2 linked regions of the Caenorhabditis elegans genome follow. The protein of the gene in region 2 purifies or fractionates together with the protein of the main gene of each other region. This does not show direct contact. Each region holds a gene or a part of one and is shown on either strand. Other genes may lie near its edges.

What was found.
Region 1: the proteins of ekl-6 (region 2) and natb-1 fractionate together in Caenorhabditis elegans (co-fractionation; one large-scale study listed by BioGRID). This does not show direct contact.

The regions. Positions count from the first base shown.
Region 1 is NC_003283.11:7,980,936-7,987,596, forward strand, and holds natb-1 (N-alpha-acetyltransferase 20), read right to left. Parts: upstream 2,497-6,661; 5' UTR 2,483-2,496; coding exon 2,405-2,482; intron 2,356-2,404; coding exon 2,265-2,355; intron 2,214-2,264; coding exon 2,084-2,213; intron 2,037-2,083; coding exon 1,814-2,036; 3' UTR 1,722-1,813; downstream 1-1,721. Other genes in the region: F26D11.1 (Gluconokinase), read left to right, coding at 959-973, 1,040-1,356, 1,510-1,702; abhd-12 (Serine aminopeptidase S33 domain-containing protein), read left to right, coding at 3,208-3,224, 3,293-3,414, 3,471-3,672, 3,719-3,961, 4,470-4,685, 4,735-4,972; Y97E10AL.1 (Protein stum homolog), read left to right, coding at 5,237-5,282, 5,823-6,001, 6,049-6,157, 6,658-6,661.
Region 2 is NC_003281.10:10,061,457-10,071,851, reverse strand, and holds ekl-6 (RTP1_C1 domain-containing protein), read right to left. Parts: upstream 7,448-10,395; 5' UTR 7,430-7,447; coding exon 7,375-7,429; intron 7,205-7,374; coding exon 7,152-7,204; intron 7,107-7,151; coding exon 6,428-7,106; intron 6,118-6,427; coding exon 5,527-6,117; intron 5,405-5,526; coding exon 5,061-5,404; intron 5,009-5,060; coding exon 4,907-5,008; intron 4,439-4,906; coding exon 4,228-4,438; intron 4,163-4,227; coding exon 3,947-4,162; intron 3,894-3,946; coding exon 3,424-3,893; intron 3,143-3,423; coding exon 2,969-3,142; 3' UTR 2,651-2,968; downstream 1-2,650. Other genes in the region: T16G12.6 (Exportin-T), read right to left, coding at 1-32, 429-677, 734-900, 1,414-1,507, 1,554-1,741, 1,794-1,939, 2,152-2,269; T16G12.12 (Serpentine receptor class gamma), read right to left, coding at 7,981-7,994, 8,051-8,117, 8,170-8,544; T16G12.13 (uncharacterized protein), read right to left, coding at 9,998-10,098, 10,155-10,344.

The DNA of each region.
Region 1 (6,661 bases), on a different chromosome or scaffold from region 2:
GATAGCACAATTACATAGGTAAAAGGAATACCCTATCATCTTTTCACTTGAAACATTATTATGATTTGCCTTTCCGCGAGAAGAACAGCGGCGGTTCAATGGAGCGCGCCTGCACTCTTTCGAAAAATTGAGGTTTTTTTGTGGAATTTTTCTTTTTGAATTTTGGATTTGCATAAGATTTGCAGAAAATTTTCATTTATAAATAAATATTGCGGACGAAAACCATTCCAGGCGTGAAACTTTTTCAAAAAATAATACATGCGCCTTTGAAGGAGTACTGTACTTTTTTCTTTTAATTAAAAAAAAATGTTTTTCTGTTTCCTACTTATTTTAAATACAATTTTATTCTGAAATGTCTAGCGAAAACCTAATAAATAAATAAATCGACGAAAACTAAGAAGATTTTTTTAAAACCAATAGGTACAATTTTTTCCTCGAAAATTTCATTTTCTTTCAAAAGTGAGTCAGAAAAACCATAAATTCTGCATTACGAAATTTGAGACAAAAGTCATTTGAGACTCTGAATTCAAAACGCATTTCGAACTGAACTGTGTCTTTAATTTTTCAAATTTTATTCTCATGTAATTTTCATCAAATCCTTTATTTTTCAGCTGGCTTCTTCATCTTCTCAACCAGCTGCCGAACAGGACTGTGTTTCGTGTAAGATCATCGGAACGGCCAGGTAATTCACCTAGAATTTGCACAATTGTTTAAGCTTCATACTTGTAATTTTAGTCTATTCGGCATCGGTTGCTACATAATTTTTGCCACAAGACCAATCGGATACTATGCAACAAGGCCTGTAACTCGACAAATAATTCGATCCTTATCAGCAGGTAATATTTCTTGTTTTAATGATCACGACCAGGTTAAATTGATCTTATTTCAGTTCCATTCTACGCATCAATCGCTCGATTCTTCTATCTACCGCCATTCGAATCAATCGATCCAACGAAAGATGTCAAACATTAATGTAATTTTTTGTTGAATTTTTACTTGTTTTACGTAATAAATGTTGTTTAAGTAGATTCAATTTCAGACAATATACATAATGGGTGTCAGTGGATGCGGTAAAAGTACTGTTGGAAAAGCTCTTTCTGAGAAGCTCAGACGGCCATTCAAAGATGGTGATACTTTCCATTCACCTGAAAATGTAGAGAAAATGAAAGCCGGCACACCACTGAATGATTCTGATAGACTTCCATGGCTTCAAGCTATTAACAACTACGCAAGACTCAATCAAGGATACGTTATCGCTTGTTCTGCGCTTAAAAGACGTTATAGATCCATTCTTTGTGAACATCTTCCCAATGGAGCCAGCGGAAGAGCTGTTTTCATTCTGTTGAATTTAAAAAGGCAAGTAATGTTCAGCGCGCAAAAAAATGTGGTGAAAGAAATGGGCAGAAAAGTGAAAATGGACAACAAACAACTCAAATTCGCACTCGCTTCCGTCCGCTCGTTTTCCCACTTTCACACATTTTCACGCATTCATCGTTTCATTTTTTGCAGGGAAGTTCTTCAGCAACGCGTGAATTCCCGTCCCGGACACTTCATGCCATCTACTTTACTTGATAGTCAGCTGGCTACACTTGAACTTCCGAGTCCCGATGAATCAAATATCGTCACTGTTGATGCGAATAGTGAAAATGTGGATCAAATTGTTGATACAATTGTAAAGACTCTGGCATTGATTTGTGAATGATTCTAGAAATCTAAATAATATAAATAAATTTAATAATTTGTCATAACTGACAAGACAACCAACACAATAAACATTAAACAATAAATAAATACTAAACAAAACAATCTAAAATTAATCCACGTCTCTACTGTGCACGAGATAATTCAAAGGAACCATCGCTTTCTTTTCAGGATCGCGAGAAAGCGACTTCCGCATATCAAAAGCATCTTCGTCCCTATCTCCAGTGTAGTATCCAATAATTTGCCGGTAGACGACATATCCAAGCTTCTTATACAATTCGATGGCGATCTTGTTCGAAACACGAACAAACAGATCGACGAAATATGCTCTACGACTGAAAATTCTTAGATTTTAATAAAATATTAATTTGCCATCACTTACGCTTCAGAAGTACGTTCCAAGAACTCCATCATGTAGGCGGCTAGTCCCAATCGACGAAAATTTGGAGCCACAGAGAGAGCAGTTACATGTCCGTGCCAATTGGTGTCGCGTCCTTCGATTTTTCCCATGACTGAAAAATTAAACTATTTCACATTTATGTTTCATTTATTTTCAAACAAACCATAGGCCATAATTTCCCCGTTTGGATGTTCAGCAACTTGGTAATACTCCGGATAGTTCATCATATAGTGCAGGTAAAATTGGAAGCCATACTGCAAAAATAAATATATTTAAATTTTTTTTATTTACTGAGCAATTTACCGTTTCAGTGTTGATATCCAAGTTCACGTTATTGAACTTGAACATATCCATAACGTCGAATGGCCGGAGAGTTGTCATTTTTACTCGCAGTTCTGCAATATATTGCAATATTGAAGGGTAAATTTAAGTGTTATATTAATCACAAAGAAATTGCATTACTTGAGAGAGTTAACAAATTTTAAATTCGTTATTTGCAAACAAAATGGGAAAATAAATTTGGCGAACGCGGAAAAGAGTTGAAAAAGTGCTAAAACGAGGTGGCACTATTAAAAACGGTTCAAATAAATTTCGTAAAGGGCATAGCGCTGTGTTGTCAGAATTTAAATTATTTTTGCAGCTCGTTGATTTATTTTTAAGCATAAAACAAGCTATTATCAGGCTAATTAAGTTAAAAATTAATAAAAAAGAGTAAAATTCCAAATTAATTTGCAAATTCCTAAAGTACGCAAGTTTAGTGCGCGGTGTTTGCGGACTTGTCCACCGTAGTCCGTTGAAAAATTATCCTCTTTCGTTTTTTGTGTTTCAAAAAATAAATCGGTCAGGCGGTCAGGCGCTCCTCCTGACCGTCATCAAGTACAAACAAAACACTAACAGGAGAAAAAATCAATAAGTGACTAGCAGGGTGAGTATATTGTGTATACCTCTGCTTCTCTCTTCCACTTTTCTCTTTCTTTTAAAGAAATTCCAGTTTTTTTGCTTCCATTTTCACTTTCAAGTACACTATCTAATATACCTCATTTTGTATGCATTCAGGTGACTTGACTACTCGAATGGAAGCGGTTAACTAACAAAATATCAACATCATGCTAGGCTATTTTATGTAAGTTTAAATTTAGGCATTTTTCCACATTTTAAAACTTGATTTATTAAACGAAAATTTAATTTCAGTGTACTTATTCAACCGCTACTACTCTGTATCACAATTCTAGTCCTCTCAATTGTCATCTTCCTTCCAATACTGGTATATTTTCTTCCACGCTACACACAGTTCATCTTCTTTCTCAATTTCCGTTAGTTTTTCTTTTTTATCTTATCTTTTATCTTTGATCTATGTTACCTTGTTAAGGACGTCTGCCGAACACCGATTACAATGATTTGGCGTCGAACAACGTTAAATCAATCGGAAGATCTCTTCATTTGCCTGGAAAAAGTGGAAGGATTGGTGTTTGGCACATTCTGCCCAACAAATTGAGTTTAGAATGGAGAACAGAAGGAAAACATCCGACAGAGAGAGATTTTGACGATATGATGAGGGATTCAGAGAATCAGTAGGATTTTCAAAGAATGAATTCAAAAAAAATCAATAAATTTCAGAATTATCTTCTACGCTCATGGAAACTCGTTCGATCGCACATTCTACCATCGTGTGGAAATGTACAATTTGCTCAGTGATTGTAATTATCATGTCGTCTGTTTCGATTATCGAGGATATGGAGATTCAGAAGGAACACCAACCGAAAAAGGAATTGTTGAAGATACAAAAACAGTATACGAATGGCTGAAGGAGAATTGCGGGAAGACGCCTGTTATTGTATGGGGTCATTCGATGGGAACTGGGTGAGTTAAATTTATTATTTCACTGCAATCAGAAATTTTTAAACTCAATTTTTAAAGTACTGAGGATAATGCAAAAAAAAAATGCTGACTGATTTTGATATCAAAAAATACAAATTTAAGATGGCTTTTTTGAGCATAGCTCTAGTTCACCAAAATTAATAACATTTTTTCTTGAAAAATCGGGTTTCAAGAAATTAAAAACAGCTTCATATGTTGCAGGTGTAAATCAAAATTCGAAACTTCCATATTCAAAATTCGGAAATGTTTCGTTTTTTCCGAAAAATTGCTTCAAGTTTTGGCCATTTTTCTTTTTGTTAAAAAAAATTTAAACATTTCCAAATTTTTTTTATCATCGACATACACAAAAAAATTTTTTAATTGATTTTTTTTTGTTATATCAAACATTTTTTTCAGTTTTCTCTGAAAAAATGAAAATTTTTCGATGACACCCTTGATACTAATAGAGAAACTACGATACATCTAAAATACTGTTCAATTCAATTTTCAGTGTCTCCTGCAAGTTGGTGCAAGATCTTTCAAGAGAACAGCAACCACCGTGCGGTTTAATCCTCGAATCGCCATTCAACAATTTGAAGGATGCCGTAACAAATCATCCGATCTTCACAGTGTTTAGCTGGATGAATGACTTCATGGTAGATCACATCATCATTCGACCGCTCAACAGTGTCGGCCTCACTATGCGTTCTGACAAACGCATCAGATTGTAAGAAGAAATATGCAGATAACGACCAAAAAAACCTACCGATTTTCAGAGTATCGTGTCCAATAATCATCCTCCACGCCGAGGACGACAAAATTCTTCCTGTGAAGCTGGGAAGAGCGTTGTACGAAGCGGCAAAAGATGCCGAGAGGGATATCAAAATTCGAGAGTTTTCATCAGATTATGGTCTTGGTCATAAATTCATTTGTCGATATCCTGAGCTTCCCGAAATTATCGAAGAATTCGTCGGGAGTGTCACTCCGCCATCCACGTTAATCGCATCATCATAAACATGTCACTGCATTTTTTTGAGTTTATAAAAATTTAGATTATTTCCAATTTTCGTATTACAATTTATCCAATTTGACATGATCCATCATGTTCTCTTAAGGTTCTAGTAATACACACATAATTGCTCATAGGGTCCGGAAACCACCTCTCCCTTTTCTTTTTTTCCGCTCCACATGGCCACTAGTTTTTTCCACTAGCTTTCATTCTTCTGCGTCTTTCAACTTACCTTTTTTTTACTATTATTCGGAAAACTACATCTCAAAATGATACAAAATGTTACGGATGGGATGGCCAATATACTTCAAACTTGTTAGTTTTTTATCGTAAAAATACCAAATGAAAGGCCCCACTTGTATTTTTAAAAAACACTTTTCCACTGTTCATAGTTTTTGAGAAAAAAATATTTGACCGCATTTTATAGAGCGAGAGCATTTGATAATTTTTCTTTAAATTTAAAAAATTTGAAATAGTCTCTCAAATTCAGAAATTCCACAAAAGAAAAACGAAAAATCGCGAATATGAATGAAAACTCCTACTTAAAAAAACTTCAATTTTGGCTAAATTTCATTTTTGAATTCCCTCCAAAATGAGAAACCACGCCCACTTTCGAACCACTCATCATCTTCGAACTCGAACAAAGCACACTCCGTCTGATTGGTTCAAAAGTGGGCGGAGCTAATTACTGATTATGCAAAATATATAATTTTGTAAAATTTTACATTTTGTAGATGCCAAAATGACAGAGATCGCGGCGAGACCCACTGGGAAATACCTTTAAAATACCTGTGCCATAATTTTTCAATCGTATTTAAAGAACAATTATCCGCGAAACTTCCTAAGAAATTTCAGCAGAAAAAGTTCGTGGCTGGAAATTGGTTCAAAAAACGGTTCCGCGAATAATCGAATATGGTCGATCAGAGGGTATTCTACAAGTTAATGTTCAATCAAATGCATTTAATATATCTGGAATAGTAATAGCTGCACAAGAAGAAGCTCACACTCAAAAAGAACCGAAATCGGGTGACAAAGTATGTCAGATGACAACTTTATTACATATATTGATCATTTTTTCAAGGTCAACTTGCCAACAAATGATATAACCACAATGCATGAGGCAATACCATTTCTTCCTGTTCCAGTTGCAATTACATGCTTATTATTCAATATTTTCATACCCGGTTCTGGTAAGTTTCAGATATAGAATATCCCAAAATTTTGGACAGTTCTGAAAAAGGTCTCTTTTGGAAAGTACTGTTCTTGAAACTTTGAGAATCGTTTTGAAAAGTTAAAAGACCGTCAGAAATATTCTGATACGTTCTAGATGTAATAGAAATATCACCTTTTTTCGAGTTCAAGATATCTGCGAGATTCAAAAGCGTTTTGGAACTACAACCTAAAAAACGAAATGTAGTTAGAAACTAAGGCTTCCATAAGAGAGCGGCGCGGCGTCGGCGCTTCACGCCGACCGGCCTTTGCCTTGGCCGCTCGCCGCTTTTAAAAGTTTTGACGTGAATTCTATATTTTAATTTCAAATAATTTGTTGAAACTTTAGAAAAAAAACAAGAAATGAAAATAAAAGTTCGACCTCACCGGCCGGCGAAGGCGCCGCACCGGCGCCGAGATGGAAGCCCTAATAGAAACTATTTCATTTTATGGCGCAGTTTATTGAAAATGAGAATTTTAGGTAC
Region 2 (10,395 bases):
TCGCAAGAACTTGCATTACTTGTGATAGACGTCTGAAATAAATTGTATTTTGTATTTATTTTTCGCCACAAAAGTTTATAGAATTTTTCTTAAATTTTTATGATTTTTTTTTAAATTTTGCAGCAAAAATAAATTGGAACGTTCCGAATTATCTTTGAAATCCCGCGCAATTGAATGATTTTCAAGATTTTGCAGACATTTTCCCGAAAAAATATTAAATTAATTTTTATCGAATTTATCGAACTTTTGACAAGGATTATCGAGTTTTTTACGGAAAAATGAATAAAAATTTGACAGATTAAATCAAACATTTCCCTGCAAAACAATTTTTTTTGTTGTAAAATCCAGAAAAAAATCTAAAATTTTTTAGACAGTTATATTAGGTACTGCTTTCCGACATTTATTGCAAAATATTCCAAAAAACTCACATTACAAGCTCCGAATCTCCCCCTTGAGCTGCACACTCGACAAGTGTTGGCACAGAGTTTTCAGAGACACTACACGTGGCAGCCACCAGTGTCGCAATTTCTTCACTCGATGCATCCGCACCTAGTTCTTCTTCAATTTTACCGGAAACGTTGAAACAAATGTATTGACAAATGCTAATGATAAGGGTGGAATTTCGATGGAATTCGTCGTTTTCCGCAATAATATCCAGAATGCTCGCGAGAGCAGTGCTGCAAATATTAAATGTTTAATGATCTTTTAAAATTTAATATTTTTCTGCACAAACCAATCCTGAACTACTGCTCCAAGGACGTCTGATAATACATGAGTCCATTGATCAAGAGCCATTCCAGGTAATCTTAACCATTGTTCAACACATTCCACAGCTGCTTGTTTTGTGATTGAAGAGGTGTCACCGCCGCGAAGTACGACTGCTAGTACGCTTATTATATTCTGAAATTATTTTTTTTATTGTTATAAAACTAATGGTTGATTTATTATTAGATCGCAGAAAAATGCACTCAAAAAAATAATTTTTTAAAGCATTTTTCGCCTTTTTCGTGGTTTTTCCCGATGTTTTTCATGATTTTTGTGTAGAAATTGCGTAAAAACGCATGAAAAGTTGAAAAAAGAATAAGATAGGTTCATTTTAATATTTGTGATCTTTTTTTCATGAGTTTCGATTTAAAATCATGAGAAAAAAAGTGAAAAAATGCTTGAAAACGTTTGAATCTACGGTTTTGGCGCCAAATACCTAACGAGACCCGAAATTTCAGCCATTTTGCCTTTTTTTAAGAAGAAAATTATATTTTTCGGCTCATGTTTTTTCTTTTCAATATTTATTTTTAAAAATATTGGAAAAAGAAATTGCATTTTTCTGTTAATTTTCTAAATTTTTTTTTCAATTTTTCGGTCTTCTAAAATTCGGAAAAATTTCGTTTTTCGATTTTTTTTTCTGGAAAAAACCTCGGAGAATTTGTGCAATTCGCCTTTCAGTTTACTCCTCTGTGTCAATGGCATTGTGACATGCGAAAACTCAGCTGCCATATCGGAAAGTACTCTGCAATCTTGATACAATCAATTTTAAATCCATAGAATTATCTCACTTTAACAATATTTCGGGAGATCCTGCGAGTGTCGGTGTCAGATCTTGAACAGGCGTCGGCCAGAGATCAGGTACACAGTATAGAGAAAAGAGAGCAAGTGCAGCAGAAAGCTTATTCAAAACTGATGTTGTTTGAGCATAGGCTCCAGATTTTAAGCTATCAATCAGAAATGTTTTCAAGCTTAATTGCTGTAAATATAAAATAATTAATTTTTTCTCAAAATCGAGATTTTATTCTAACCACTGCCTCATTTGCAATACACTCTTCACTTCGTACTCGAATCACATCGTAAAGAGCCACTGCACCGAAATATCTGACAATTGATGAGCTTGTAGGTTGACTGATAATTCTCATACATGCTCCAACTGTTTGCATACATTCATAGTCTGAAGAAATTCAAAATTATTTCCAAAAGCCCGGAATACTCTTAAATTCAGAAAATGTTGGTCTAAATTCCCTCCAAAAAGAGAACTACAAGACCAATCAGTGATTTTGGAGGGAATTCAAAAATGAATTTTAATCAAAAAATTGGATTGTTCATTTTAATTCGATTTTTTTCGGATTTTAAGACTAAATTTTCAAAAGAAAAATCCCTAACCAGTCTTGAATCGACATAAAATCGCATCAATTTCATGTCTTCTGTGCTCATCTGTTGTTGTGTAAAATTCATTGATTGTGGCTATTAGTAGATCAGAATCTAGAGAAACTACGGCCATTCGACCTGGAAACTATCCTGAAATATATTTTATTTTGTTTAAGGTGCGAAAATTTATGACTTTTGCGCCCAAAATACGGTGCCTGGTCTCGACACGGTCGGAATTTTTATTAAAATTTATTTAAAGGCTTGCGCCTTTAAAAAGTACGGTAATTTTGAAACTACAGTAATGTTTAAAGGCGCATATCTTTCCAATTTTAACCAAAAAAAGTCGTGTCGAGATCAGTATCGTATTTTTAATGCAAAAATCGAAAAATTCCGCGTCTGGAACATGGAATTCGTCAGAAAATATGCATAAAATACGAGATTTTTCAAACAAAAGCACAGATATTAAAAACGGTATCGAACCGATAAAATCAAAAAATAATTCTTAAAATAAATTCACTTTTAACAAAACTTTAATATGAAAAAGAAAGTATTTCCATAAGAACGAAACAATTGATGCGAAAAATACCAAGAAATGAGAAAAGAGAACGACAAGTCTTGTGAATGAGATTTTGGAAATTGGGGGGCGGGGGGCGGTGGGAATTAATTTTAATAAAATATTCCGCATATGAAGAAAAATGTTAAAAATGAAAATCAGAACAAAAAAAGGAAAAAAAGAAACAAAAATCGCTTACAACTCAATAAAGCCTCTAGAAAATTATATAAACTGATAAATAATCTCAGAATATTTTTGTCATGACAATAAACATTGATATTAGAACCGTATTCTTCTGTGATATCCTCTTTCAGTGTCCTCTTGATTTTGACGCAGTGCTGCTTCAATTTCTTCGAGACATAATTGAGCGTGTAAACGGACAGTCTCATCACGATCCGTTCGATGAAGTTGACGAATTTCGCGGTGAAGATCGAGAAGATGTTCTCGGAGAATCTGAATTTTATAAAATTTTGAAATTTTTATGGAAAATTATTTTTTTGTTAATGAGAAAAGCGTTAAAAATGACCCCAAACGTCACACTGGAAAGTTTTAAAAAATTTCCAGAAATTGAAAAATTTTGAGCCTTTAGGAAAATTTATAAAAAATATTATTGTGTAAATAATTCGGGTCATTTTTAACGTTTTTTGGTTTGTTTTTTTTAGATTAAAATTTCTCCGAGTATGAAATTCGCTTAGCCGTTTTGATTTCTGTTTCAGCGAAAAAAAACCACTCACAGCCAGCATATCTCTACCAGTTGATTGTAAGCTATGACGAATGAGATCAGCAGCCGAACGTCTAACAAGTGGCGATCGATCGACTCGAATAATATTGACAATTTTATGGAACACCTGTCCCAACCATTTCTCGGATCCTCGTCCACGAGTAGCAATCATAAGATTTCCAAAAGCTCCACAACTGCTGGCACGAAGAATCTCTTCTGGTTCATCGATTCCTTTCATGAAAAGTGTGGCGAGTCGATCGAAATAGGTGACAGAAATCTCTCCACGTGCGAGCAAAAGTTTTCCAATCGCTTCAGCGACTCTTCCAACACGAATGATCATTTTAGTGTCTTTCTGAGGTTGATTTGACATCTCTTCATAATATTCAATTGTATCCTCAAACATGTTCTTATTGTAAAGTCCCATTTCACAGAGACAATTGATTGCAGACAAATATACGTATGAATCATCATCGGCGACCATATCTGAAAGAAATAGAGAAAATAATTATTTATTTCGACACTGAAATCGAATATACCTTTGACAGCATCAAATACTCCATATTCGAACAACCTCTGACAGTGATACGTTCTGTTTCGGAATACTCTAGCAATTTGCATTAATGCTCCTCCTTTGATAGCTGGCTCATCGTCATGAAGCTCTTCAATCCACTCATTACAAACGTCAACTTGTTGATTATATCGTTGGCGATCGGTTCTTTGTGGCAGAGTTGGTGCGTTGACTTGATTCACGTCTGGAAAAAATATGCAAAAATGTTTCTCTTTTCAAAAAATCAGAGGCAGAAATTATTTGACCTACCAATTTTGAGATCTCTGAGCAGTTTCTTAGCTTCGTCAACAGCTAAATTAAAAGAAACATCTTCGGATGGAAAAGCGTCAGCAGCTTTTGTAAAGTTTGCCATGGCTTCCATGGATCTGATATGAACATCGTGCATTCGAGTTGTTGTTTGAGTCAGCATGAATACTGTGCTGATCATTGGAAGACACATTTTTGCAGAGTCTCGGCTGCACTGAAATGGAAAAAAATTAGCAATGGTTTTAGAAGGAATACGGAATTTTGCGATTTTCACTCCTGTTCTTGAAGCGGCCGATTTTCTTAAATTTGATTGTTTTTGCATTATTTTTGTACTGGGTTCCTCCCGTTTCTTCAAAATTTGATTCATTTTTATATCTTTTTATATGTTTAAACAATTGCCGATTTGCCAGAATTTTTCATTTTCGGCAAATTGCCGATTTGCCGTAAATGTTCTTAAAAAATGTGCAAAACCGATTTTCCGGCGAATTCGGCAATTTACCCGTTTGCCGGAAATTTTCGATTCCGGAAATTTTCAATTTTCAATTCCGGCAATCTTCTGATTCTCGTTTGTTGCCCCTTTGCTACAGTACTCCTCAAAGGTCTGAAGAATTTATAGAAAATCGTTCGCTTCGAGACCTTTCAAGGTGAAAATCTTAAAATCTCGTATCTGGACAATATTTACCTCAAATTCTTTCTTCTCTGTCGGCGTCATTCGAAAAACATCGACATTTCGTTTTCTATTCGCCATACGCATAAATTTTCCAGTACAATTGTTAAGGATGGACTGAAAATATTTAATTTATTTAAATATCTCAAATTTTAGCGAAAATGCCAACCTCGGCAATTCTCAACAATTGAACACATTCTTCCTGTGAGAAACCAGAATCTTGAGCCAAATTTATGATTCTCTCAAAACATGCTCCGACGACAAGATGCGCATGGGATGATGAGAACAACTTTGCTCCGTCCAATTGTACAAATCTAGCTTGATCATCTTCTCGCTCTTTCTCGGAAACTTTCAAAAAGTCATCCAACGCCATATTCATCATCTCTAGAATTGGGCGAATTTGTGCCGATGTCAGAACATTGTCGATGACGAAAAATGCGGTTTCAAGGCGACGAGCTACACCTTCATCAGTACTTTCAATTCCGTGAAGCCACATTTCATCGAACGGAGTGTCTGAAATTAGAGGAGACTTTAATAGAAAACTGGCTCAATTGTCAGAAATTTGGATTTTCCGGTAATTTCCAACTCTCAGATAATTTTTGAGCGTTTTTTTTTTCAAAAAAATAAAAACCAACCATTTCCATTGCTATCTCCACCAATTTCCTGAATTTTCGATGACGTTACAAATTTCTTTTCCAAAGCAACACGATGTGATGGTGTCATTACAAATTGATAAATTATGTATCCAATACTCAAAACACTATCCAACGCCGATTTTAAAATATCTTTAATATATGGAATTTGTTCCACGCAAGCGAATAAACATGTAGACAGCGCACGAGTTCTCTTCACATCAGCCGACAGTTGCAGCTGTGACAGAAGTTGAAGATTTCTGATGAAATTCGGTGAATAGTTCTCCACTTTCTCCGAATGCATGACCGTTTTATCCTGAATTTTCTTGTCCAGCACCTCCCAGAAGTTCAGAATTTTGTCGAAAACCGTAAGATTTGCGTTGAGAGCAAAACGAGTGTGAAGCTCTTCGACATAGTTGATGAACACGTTCAGAGTATTTTGCTCGGGGATTTTCTGGCTCCACAAGAGTTCGAAGAATTGATTCGAGATAATCTCATGATAGTTCAATGGGTGTCTGAACATTTTTGGAACAGTTGCCAAATGCCAGGAAACTTGTTTTGTCAATGGTAGATTGTCGGTCCATGTATCTCCAGCTGAAAATAATTGGAATGATTTTTGTGATTTAAAATTTCGAAAAAATTGGCTTGAAATCTCCAATTTTACCAGTTTAGCGGTTATTTAGGCACATTTGTCCCCTATTCAGCGTATAAACAACCCAAAAACTGGGAATAATCAATTAAAAATCAATTTCTAACAGTTGCGGCATAAAATTGGATATTTTAGCTAATATGTCTTTTAGAGGAATCGTTACGAAATTCGGGTCATTATGAAAAATTATTGATTAAAATCAATATTTTTTGATTTCATTTGGTAATTTCCATCACAAAATGCAGAAAGTCTCACCGCGTTCACGATAATACTGCAAAAGATACGACAATCCATCTTTTCCGACAAGAATCTTTGTCATCTGTTTGCCACAAGCAACTTTCAACCACATCGGCGTCTTTGCTGTCTTCTTATCCTGCGTCAGAAACATCAAAGATCCGAAAAGAACGTCAATTTGGAGTTTTGAGACCAGCTCAGCGAAGTTCAACTCGTATTTATCGATTTTCAGCTGAAGAAGCTGGAAACGAACGGCGAGCACATCGTCGATGAATTTTGTCAAGAATTGACCGATGAGAGATTCATTGCTTTCCAGAAGATTTATGATCACTTTTGCAGCAAACTCAAGCTTTTCAATACACGTTTCTTTGTTTCCATCGTATAGTTTCCACGATTTGATGAATGTACTGCGTGAGGCTGCTCCGAGTCCGGCACCGGGCTCCATAAATGGCAAGATACCGGTGAGCAAGAAGAATTCGAATGATTTTCTCACAAGTGTGACATCTTGAAGTGACAAAAGCTGGTATTCGTCGGAGCAGTTCGCACGTTCTGATTTGAGCAAATTCGCAAGATCAAGATAAAGACCTCCGAGAATTTGAGAATAGTAAATTCTGACATCGGCATTGACAGTTCTAACATCATCAGAAGTAGATGGAATTGAATCTTCGTTTGGTGTGTCTACATACTTTTCAAACAGATCCTGAATACTTAATATAGAGAATTTTTAATTTAGAAAAAACCTCACCTTCGGGCATTTCTTCACCAGTAGCTCAAACGGATCATTTTTCCATGTTTCTGCTGAAAAAATATGTTCATTCACGCGACGCAATTAAAGAAATAATAAAATTTTATCTCGAATTACATTGCAAATCTTATTTAAATATAAATTTATAGATTTTTTTTCGACATAAATCGTGTCGGAGCAATAAAAGGCCACAACAAGGAGATAATTATTGAAATTTACATACCTGGAGGAGTTATCAGTTCGGATATCATATGAATAAGCTCATTTTTGGTCAGCATTGTGCTGAGCAAGCTGAAAATCAATAAGAGTGTTCAAAACTGCGGCAAGAAAATGTTGTCCGAGTGGAGTACACGCGCCACTTCTAGGCCACGGCCACCTCGGCCAGGCTTGATTTTTTTTTCGTTGTTTCGAGGCGTTTAATTTATAAATGAATGTTTATATTTATTTCTGAACATGAGTCATACAAATTTAACACAGATAAGAATTTCATTGATGAATCAATATTCTTCGAGACCATGTTAATAGTTTTGGATGCCTCACACTTCCCGATTTGGATTTTAAAAAAGTATTTCTTTTGTGAGAAAATGTCCGTTTCTGAGACAAATAGAAAAAAAAAAGATTTTTCGTAAAAGGGAAACCGATTCGAACGGGTAGGAAAACAAATGTTTTCGATAAATTTCGGTGCAATGTGAAATTGGACAAGGAGAAAATCAATTAATACATGTGTTTTAAAAAAATAGTGAGAATAATTAGGCAACACGGCGGAGAGTTGGTGCAGCTTTGAAACGGCGGTTGTTTTGTCTGATGACATGAACCAGAAGAATCTGATTCAGGAAGTGGATGCTGAAAATAGTTATAGTAAGATTAGGATGACGCGGAAGATGCACGTGAGCCCGTACCAATCATATAAGCAACTGAGAAGAGAAAAGTGGCCGTTCCTGTGACAGTTTCATTATGGAATCTGTTCTGATCATCCAAAAGGTTTCAATAATTAATGGTGTCGATTACTTCAACCTACCGTGAAAAATACAGACATGCGGCATCCGAAAACTGTTCTTGACAAAGATCCGATCACTGGAATGCTGTGGAACACGAGCAGGATTTGCAGGATTCTTGGGATTGTGTATCCGAAGGTTTCCCACAATAGATTTGGATACATGTAGTTGATCGCGTAGACAGCAATACATTCCAATAGGTGAGCATAGATAGCGAGGTACAGAATATCACAGATTAGGCGGAAAGTGCTGCGATGCTGGTAATGAAGTCCGAAGAAGAGAGGGAAGGTGTTGGTGCGGGCTCTGTAGACAGGATTGGTCTTGACTGGCATTTGAATCTTGATCTCCTTTTGAGCATCTGGAGGTTTGCTCGCCAAGATCTTCGAGGGGATGGTCATGATGCTTTTGTTGCTGAAAAACATACATATTAAGATTTAAGATTGGAGCAATTTTCGTTGCAAGAATACGGTTCCCGGTCTCGACACGACAATTTTTGTGAATCTCAAAAAGAGTGTGTGCCTTTAAAGATTACTATAATTTAAAACCACTCTGCAAAATTTCCACTAATTGGCGTGACCTGAACTTGCATGCGCGTTTAGGTTAGAAACTACAGTATTCTTTATGGCATAGTCGTGGCGAGACCCGGTACCGTATTTTTCTAGGAGATATCGCAACACTTCGAGTATTAAATGCAAGGCTTTGCGGTGGCTCTCAGTATATGCAGAGGGGGAATACGGTAATTATAACGATCTCAAAATAAATATTTGAAAATAAAAGTACAGACTTCAAAACATCTGAACCAAAGGCGAGTGTCAAAGGCAGAAAGTGAATGTCTGTTCAACAACCAAGGCGCCATGACCCCTTACTCCAGGCTCCACCCACTTGGCCCTCTGGACACACCCCCATTTAGAGAGAGATCATGGAAAAGTGAGAGACTGACAATGAAATACTGTTGCAAAGAGAGAGAAACTGGATGTGTAGAGTGATCAAGACAATCACGGAGCTATGACTAACTAGGTGAAGTTAAAAAAGGAGTATTGGTAGTTGAGAATCGGAAAATTGCCGGTTTGCCGAAAATGTTAATTTCCGGCAATTTCCGATTTGCCGGAAATTTTGATTTTCGGCAATTGCCGATTTGCCGTTTGCCGAACAACAATTCGCCGGAAGTTTTTAGAGGGATTTTTTATAAGACGGAAACACTTAAAACTGGGCCTTTTGACTTTTTTTTTTCATTTTTTAAAAATATATTTTCATAGAATTTGCTAATTTTTCAAAATAGATGTAGGAACATTCATAGGATGCGTACAATTTTGCCGATTAAAATTGAAAATCTGAAATTTCCAAAAAAAAAGTATGCAAAGGCACAGTTTCCCGAAAATTTCAAAGCAGTCTGCCGATTTGCCGGAAATTTTGATTCTGGCAACTTGCCGATTTTCCGGAAGTTTTCAATTCCGGCATTTTGCCAATTGAATTGGGAATAGTTATTTCCTGTCGAAAGTTACAGTGGTTGAGTTGTAAATCTAATCGAATCTTGACAATGTTTTCAATTTTTATTTTCAAAAGGTTCCTCTCCCTTTTCAAACATAGCCGCAGACACTAGATAACATACAAAACAGCTGCATTTCTGTACAGTTGGCACCTGTTTTCCGTACCCTCAAAAGACACATAGAATGGGTTATCGAAGTGTCTAGATTCGAAAGTATAGCTGAGCAAATAACTTGTTCTGAAGACAATTTTATTACGATTTTGGAAAAATTGAGCAAAAAAAGGTGTAGGGAAAAGGAAATTTCAAAAATACATAAGTTTCAGTGGAAAATTTTAAATTTCAAGAGTAAAACAGCAGTAAAACAATCAGACAACATTGAATGCATTCATTTCCACAGGAGCATCTTTTTTTTCAGATTTGATCACACGAATCACGCTCCGCGCCAAGAACATTTGAATTGCATAAACTGAAAATATTTCTTTCCTATAGAATCTAGTCTCATTCATGAGCTCAAAAACTCACACCCGGCATCCAAAATCAAAGTGAGCTCAAAGAGAATACAGTAACCAAGGCGTTGAATAAATTCCATTTCATGAGTGTCACCATGTTCCATAACCAATCGAATCTGTTCTGGAGCTCCCGTGTTGAACTCGAAGATTATCCAAATAGGGCCCAGTGTAGCGATGATTGTAGAGACAAGAAGGAAGAATGTCTGAAATGTAAAAGTTTCAGTTTACAAGAGCTTTGGCTAGCTAGCTAGCAG